Danio rerio: one gene and its partner. The protein of the gene in region 2 purifies or fractionates together with the protein of the main gene of each other region. This does not show direct contact. Links are inferred from orthologs where the notes say so. Each region holds a gene or a part of one and is shown on either strand. Other genes may lie near its edges.

Region 1 (4,329 bases), on a different chromosome or scaffold from region 2:
TAATTACAGTGAACTGGATGAAGACCCGACAACCTACTTCAACAGAATGGACACAGAGGTTGAAACAGAAATATATATGTATTTGACAAAATGACTTGAAATCAAACTTTTTCCAATAGACCAGGGCATTATTTGAAACATACTTACTTGATCTTTGAAAGGCTGTCAGGGGTTTTGTCTTTGTCCTAGTTATTGCCTTTATATTGAAGTTTATTTATTTATTAACCCCCCCCCCCCCTCCCCCTCTTTTTTATTTTTAAGCTGTCAATATTATTTATCTATTATTATAATATTTATCAATTATTGTTTTCTTTCTATTTGTTTCTTTTTTGTGATTGTAAACATTCTAAGTAAATGTTATTTGTATACTATCTTTATAAAAACTTCAATAAAATAATAATAATAATAATAATAATAATAATTGTCCAAATTAAATTCTTAGCAATCCATGCTACAAATCAAAATTTTGTTTTGATATATTTAAAGTAGAACATTTATAAAATATTTTCATGGAACATGAGCTTTTACTTGTAAATGTATTTTTGGCTACTGTCAAAACTGTCACATTTTGTGGTCCAGGGTCACATATAGTACTTCATTGACATTCATTACAACACAACTTTCAAGTCATAAAAGTTCAAAAGTCTTGTTATAAGCCCCTGAAGCATTAGTATTGTATTTCTGATGAATATTTCAAAAAGTGCCCTATAAAGGGTTAAACTGCACACTACTTCTTCATTCTCAAATGCATGGTTTGCAATGCAGAGCATTTTGTTTGTTTGCAGGCATCATTAGTGTGGTTAGTGTTTTATTATGGTCATACCTCTTCACTGGGTGCGAGCTGTAAGACCACAGGCGTGCTGTCAGCAAACAGCGTGTGAATTGTATTCGCCACACTGTCCAGAGTGAACGGAACCGGCTGCAACATAAACAGATAGACAGGAAGATAAAAATTTAGACTGAACGGCAGACATTAAGAAAGATAGTTTCATTTTGGTCTTGCATCAAACCCAATTTAGAACCATGATTTAGTATATACAGAAGTAGTCTGTCAAATTGAATGCAAGTACAGTGTCCACTTCAATGTTTAAAATGAACATTTGTGAAAATAAAATATGGCTGAAATAATGTTCCATCTGGCGACGTGGTGGCGCAGTAGGTAGTGCTGTCGCCTCACAGCTAGAAGGTCGCTGCTTCGAGCCTCGGCTGGGTCAGTAGGAGTTTGTGTGTGGAGTTTGCATGTTCGCATGGGTTTCCTCCGAGTGCTCTGGTTTCCCTCACAGTCCAAGATAGATAAAAGCGTCTTATGTCTCATGATATAAAATGGGGAAGTCTGGAGGGGAAACTACACTGCTGCTCAATTCTAAAACTTACAAATATAGCTGATGAACATTGCTTCCCATTTTCCGGTTCTAAAGGGAGTTATTTATCTTTACTCAATAGTTTCTGGTAAACTGCAAAGTGAGTCAAAGATCAGTAAAAGGCCAGACAAAACAACGCACAACACACATCATAAAATAAATCCAGCATGTGAGAATGTGTCACCCACATTTTCGAGAGGGTAAGAGGACACGTTTTTTGGAAAGTCCAGGCTGTCGATGCCACGCACAACGATTAGAGCGTTAGCACGAGGACGCTGGAACAGTGAACCGGCAGCCAGACCTGGCCAATCGAGATCCTGCAAGATTTTAAAAAATCAAGTTTATCACAGTGTTTACATTAAGACATCATATGTGCTATTACAACAAATAAGAAAAATAAAAAAACAGACATAATACCTCACGAACAGAGAAGCCCATGGTCAGAGCAACTAAATCTGGGATCTTTTCACCCGATATGGGCCACTGCTCATCCCGAAAAGTCACATACTGAGGGCTTCGCAAAACTGTCAAACTGTCCCCCAAAACACCTGACAGAAAATTAAGAAATCAATTTTCACATATTTTCATAATCTTTATTGGAATTAAATGACAATCGCTTTGACATTTCTGTATCTAATGACCTCGCAATGACATTTTGTGTGTGTTTTAAGTACATTAAAACATCTGTATTCAAGCAGGACTTCATGAAAGTCAATATAAACAAATGAAAAATAATATTACAAAGCAAATAAGTAAAAAAGCAGTTGAAATTGTAAATTATATAAATCAGAAGAATCAAACATTACAGCACTATAATGCATAGAAATAGCTAAATAAACATTATTGAAACTAAATAGCCCACAAATATTTTAAATATATATTTTTTAATATAAATTATTCTGAGTTAGGTTTTAAAACACGCATTAATATCTGCAGTTTACATTTAGGAGGCACCGAAATTATCAGATTTGGGTGTCCAGTGTCATATAAACCACTGAAATCTAGTCTAGTATAAAAAACACAAATACATAAGCTTAATTTCTATCATAAGTATAATATTGATTAGAAATGTAGGATTTGTTAAATAAACCATGACTGTCACATGACCCGCTTGGGCTTCCTCATTCACGATCAACATTTAACACTAAACCCCTTTGTATTTAACAGCCGAGTGCAACATAAACACAATATCTTTCCAAATACTCTTGAATTAACAGGATAACATTGATAACGGAGATATTTAATCGAATGACATGACTGCGGATTATGGCATCCCACTGCAGCCGCCATTAATTCATTAAACACACGCTAAAACCCCCTGGACCCTATAAAACAAAACGACGTACACGTCAAAGACCAAATATAAAGTCAATTTACCTGATAAGAGTCCTATAAGGGCAAATACGGCGTTCATAATTATTCGATTCATCTCGGGACGATTTTCTGATGGACTGCGCTTCCTCGCAACACCAGTCACATGACCAGGGCCAGCCGCGTGACGTCGTGCGTCATGACGCAACAACATTTCCCTCAGTCTGCTTCGACTGCCACCGCGGGATTCAAACTTTACTTGAATTTACCGACATTTGTGTTCGTTAAAGTCAATATTCCGACCAATGTAGTTGGATAATGCTGATAATTTATATTGTTTACAGCGAAGAGACATTTAGAAGGGGAAAATTGTGTAAATGTAACAATTTTACGTAAAGTTACTAGACCTAAACTGGAATTATTAACAGCAGAGGCGTTTCTAGCCGTAAAGGATGTAAACAAGACCCTGTCTGTCTGTCTGTCTGTCTGTCTGTCTGTCTGTCTGTCTGTCTGTCTGTCTGTCTATCTATCTATCTATCCATATATCCATCCATCTGTCTGTAGGTTAGTGACCTTCAGGACATGTGACATGTCATCAACTATCTGCAAGGATTTTACACAGCATAAGGTTAGTATTATGCACAGTTTTCCCGTCTACAAGACTGCCTTGACCTTTCAGGTAACTTTTAAAATCGTAATTTGCAGTAATTGTATGTTTAATCAAATAATAGCATACTGCAGACCCCATTCCAAAGATTATATTTTGAAGGTACCCCAAAATCATAATTTCTGCTAATTATAAGGAAAAATTAAGTTTTACCCTCCACATATACAACGTTTGTCCAACAATTTATTTCAATATAGTTGTTGTCAATGTATTATTACTTCTAATCTAAGATTCAGTTAATAAATTGTTCTCTTTTTAATTTATTTTTTAAATGAATATATACACACAGTTGTAGTCAAAATTATTAAACCCCCTTTTGATATTTTTTTTTTAAATATTTCCCAAACGATGTTTAAAATAGATGTTTAAAACGATGTTTATTTTTTAAAAGCCATTTAAGGACAAAATTATTAGCCCCTTTTATCTATATATTTTTTTCGATAGTCTACAGAACAAACCATCGTTATACAATGACTTGCCTAATTACCCTAACCTGCCTAATTAACCTAGTTAAGCCTTTAAATATCACTTTAAGCTGTATAGAAGTGTCTTGAGAAATATCCATAAAATATTAATTACTGTCATCATGGCAAAGATAAGATAAGTCAGCTATTAGAAATGAGTTATTAAAATTATTATGTTTAGAAATGTGTTGAAAAAGTCTCTCCGTTAAATAGAAATTGGGGGAAAAAATATATAGCGTTGAAGTACTCCTGTTAATTTTTTCCCCCAATTTCTATGTAACGGAGAGATTTTTTCAACACATTTCTAAACATGTTGTATGATGATTGATATATATGTGTGTGTGTGTGTGTGTGTGTGTGTGTGTGTGTGTGTGTGTGTGTGTGTGTGTGTGTGTATATATATATATATATATATATATATATATTTTTTTTTTTTTTTTTTTTTGCTCTTGGAATATAGTATTTTTATTATAATGTTTAATTTATTTTTATTTATATTTACTTTATGTTTGTATATTTAATATTT
Region 2 (4,011 bases):
TTTGATCAGTGTCAGTGTTCACTCTCTAGACTTTAATTTTGATCAGTGCTTGTGTCTGTCCAAGATTGGCAACACTTTAAAATACCATAATAAATGTATTACTAACATGAACAAACAATTAGTAATACATTCAGTACTTATTCATCATTGTTAAAGTTAATAAAGTTAATTTAATTAAAGAGTGTTAGTTGATGTTAACTCAGTGCATTAACCAATGTTAACAAGACCAACTTCGGCTATTATTAATGCATTAGTAAATGTTGAACTAATGGTTAATAAATTATTTTCAAGATTACCCCTACTTAGTTCATGTTAGTAGATGCATGAACTGATGTAGCATTATTCTAAAGTGTTATTCCATGCTATTCTGATTTCTGTCACAAACAAACTCTCTTTACCCACATAGATCCACTCGGGACATTTATCTGACTGTTCTCTAAAATCCCTAGTCACGTTAAATCATCATGACCACATAGATTCCTAAACACATTTTATTGCTGACATGTGATTGGCTGATTGAATTTTAACATGACCAAATCATCATATTTTTATATGCATTATTTGCATTTCTATTTGCATTATTCTAGTCTTTTTTGTATTTGCATATTTTACCTTAATATTTATTTTCCATCACCACAGTATCAATAGAGCATAATACTCCAATTACCTTTAATAACTGCAAATCACATACTTTGAACACATTTTAATTGCATCACATTGAGGAAAGCTTCTTTGAAATGCTTCAAAACAATGACCAATACAATGAGGAAAAAATATATGCATAGCACACCAATTTACAGTAACAGATGTAGAGAGTTTGTTTTCTGTCTAATATTATCAAGTTTGAGAAAGACATTCAGGAACTTAAATATTAAAGTGACAGCATTTAAAAGGAAATTCATAATATATTGAATTTTTATATATGATATATATGATTGTTATATTAAACATATATTTTAAAATAATTATTAGTAGGAGCACTGACAAAAACTATTTCCTTGGGAATGGCAAAAAATACATCACAGAACATTGATTAAACACACATCATTATTTACTCCTCATAATATGCTTTTCAGTTTCAGCGAGATGGATGAGAATACCCAACTCCTTCATCTGCTCAGGCCAGACTGTGAGCCTGCATGGGTAGTAACAGGTTATCGGAAGTCCTCTGCAGAGAACATACCCTTGGCCCGTCGCAGGATGGAGTCTTTGGAGGCATCATATGGATGCTCTTTTGAGGGAATCTCTAGCACAGCCGGGATGGACTGCATGTGGGCATCAATGGCATGTCGAATCATCTCTGCGATGAACTGGTTGATAAGGATGATGCCAATGTCATTGCGAGCAAGGAAACTCCTGTTAGTCATAAACGACAGACATGCTGTAGTTAATGTTGACAGAAAAAAAATTGTACAATTACAAAAATCTACTATTCTCTGCATCTATTTGTTAATCCAAAAATTACAATTCAAAAGGTTATTGGGAAAAGTAATGTTTACTGTATATATTAATGCATAATATATGTGTTAGTAAGACATTTTTTTCTGTATGTCTACTAAGGTGTTATACATAATATAATTTTATTATTGTATTAAATGCATATACAGCGCATACTTTGATGTTTCAAATAACTCTTCTGAAAATTAAATGCAAGCATGGGTGAAATTATAATCAAAATCAGACATTATTGCATATTTATGTAAATACCAAACTACATATTGACTTGGACTTGTACTTATTCATATAGACCATTTCATTGTGGTGATGACATTGGCCTATGCTTGATATCAAAGAAACAATTGAATAATAACTTAATTCTAAAAAAGCTATCATAACATTATTTATCAATAAGCAGGCTCTTTTTAGATTCTCGTAAGCTATAAAAATTAAAAATGTAAAACAGAAAATACGTTGGAACATTTGTTTTTGTTTACATTCCTCAAAATGATCTATCGTCAGAATAAGAAGAGATCAGACAAACATGTTCTTATATTTAAATTATTCAAAATTGATCAGTAGTTTGAAGAATAGTGACAAAGGATATTTAAATGACAATTGTCAATAGGGGCTGCACTGTAATTCATAATATTAATAGTTTGATATGTCTTTAATAGTTTCTTGCAAATATGATTGACAGTTTACTGGTGTATATAAAATATTGTTAAACTAAAAGACATTTAAGTGGGTTTCTTGACAAATTTAGGTAATTATTACTACATAAAAATAATTTATATATAAATGTTTTTTCTAAAATATTTGGCTGATATGATAGATAGATAGATAGATAGATAGATAGATAGATAGATAGATAGATAGATAGATAGATAGATAGATAGATAAACATAAATATTTTTTTAAAAAGCAAGTCTTCATCCATATATTTGTAATGACACATATTTGATAATTAGATTGTAATATATGATGTTGAGTCATTCAGACATTTAGGATCGTGTCACTTACTTGAAGGTCTCCTCTATCTCTGTAACGCTGGTTTCCTTCTCCACCACCAAGAAATTGGGTTTACGGTTTTTATTGAGCTCTCCGATCCCTCCGAGGAGAAATCCGGTGCACGTGTCTTCATCACCGATAACTGCGATTAATTTTCCTCGTCCGGGCATCGTGACTTTGTCTTATATTTTGCTCAAATAAAAGACGCAGAATGGACGAAATGTTTTCCGTTCAGCAGGATCATATGCTTTAATCAGCTGACCACTTCACTTCCGCTTTGCGTAGTCGCGTAAGCGCCTTATTTAGCTGATCTGAGATCTGTGCTGCTCGCGTTAACGACCGACCTGTGTGCGGTGATTATGACAGCGAATCTGATCCTGATACAGATTATTTTTTGTTAAATGCGAGAACAGCGCATAAATCCTAGCAAATTAAATAAAAATCCGCCACGTTTTAGTCATACTAAGATTTTTTATCACATTTTGTACGTTTCCAATGCATATAAACAAAAATAATGTCGAATAAGCAAAACATCTCCTGGAATGACGTTATAAACACGCGACGCTTGATGTCAGTCACGTGAGGCGGGGTGTGAAGGAAAACAGCAGTGTACATTTATCTGCACTGTCTAAAATGGTAAATATAATTCTTACCTTTAAAATATTTGTTTAATTAAATGTTTTTTTTATTAAATGTTTTGTTTTAGTGCATTTAGAACTTATAAAACAAAGATTTTGTAAATAATGTGATTGATGATGCAGTCTAATATCATATGAGCTCTGTTAGTGTTTAATTACAGTATTATCGTGTGTTGAATGTCAGACTACTGCTTTGACTCAAGGCTTGGAGAGAATACCCGATCAACTTGGGTACTTGGTTATTAGTGAAGACGGAGTACTCGCGGTAAGCTGTTAAAATTCATAACTTACATTTTCGGAGAACTTGACATGAGGGTGAAATGCGTTGAAAAGAGAATCCTGATTTGGGCAAATGAGAAATAATTAATTAGAATTCAATGTCTGTCAGTCTTATTGTTCTGTCTGTCTCTGTTTGCCTGTCTACACTTTGAGGCAAAATTATTACGCCTCTACTGATACATATTATTTAAAAAAAAATTCCCAAGTTATGATGAACTGAGCAATGACATTTTCACAGTATTTTCTATAATATTTTTATTCTTGAGAAAATTTTTTATTTCTTTTATTTTGTCTGGAATAAAAGCAGTTTTTAAATAAAAAAATAACAATTTTAATAGGTTAATAGGCCCTTAGAACAAAATAATGGTATTCAATGACTTGCCTAGTTAAACTTATTAACCAAGTTAAGCCTTTAAGTTACTCATTAAGATGAATTCTAATATCTTGTAAAATAACTAGCAAAATATTATGCAGTGTTATCATGGCAAAGACAGATTCTGTTAAAAAATATATATATTACAACTATTATTTTTAAAAATGTGTTGAGAAATCTTCTTCCTTTTGAACAGCCTTCATGAAAATAAATTAAAAAAGGAAAATATTTATTTATTGCCAATAATTGTGCCTTTAACTGTATCTATCTATC

The links. The genes of interacting proteins can lie anywhere in the genome.
Region 1: the proteins of atp6v1f (region 2) and atp6ap2 purify together in Homo sapiens (affinity purification with mass spectrometry; 3 studies listed by BioGRID and IntAct, counting the BioPlex papers as one, with this or other methods). This does not show direct contact. The link is inferred for Danio rerio from reciprocal best matches to the Homo sapiens genes ATP6V1F and ATP6AP2.

The regions. Positions count from the first base shown.
Region 1 is NC_133197.1:10,785,712-10,790,040, forward strand, and holds the start of atp6ap2 (renin receptor), read right to left. Parts: upstream 2,901-4,329; 5' UTR 2,887-2,900; coding exon 2,739-2,886; intron 1,910-2,738; coding exon 1,779-1,909; intron 1,679-1,778; coding exon 1,550-1,678; intron 920-1,549; coding exon 824-919; intron 1-823. UniProt on the Homo sapiens protein: Multifunctional protein which functions as a renin, prorenin cellular receptor and is involved in the assembly of the lysosomal proton-transporting V-type ATPase (V-ATPase) and the acidification of the endo-lysosomal system.
Region 2 is NC_133179.1:20,642,901-20,646,911, forward strand, and holds atp6v1f (V-type proton ATPase subunit F), read right to left. Parts: upstream 2,723-4,011; 5' UTR 2,619-2,722; coding exon 2,461-2,618; intron 1,357-2,460; coding exon 1,155-1,356; 3' UTR 624-1,154; downstream 1-623. Other genes in the region: ragulator complex protein LAMTOR4, read left to right, coding at 3,082-3,084, 3,235-3,351. UniProt on the Homo sapiens protein: Subunit of the V1 complex of vacuolar(H+)-ATPase (V-ATPase), a multisubunit enzyme composed of a peripheral complex (V1) that hydrolyzes ATP and a membrane integral complex (V0) that translocates protons.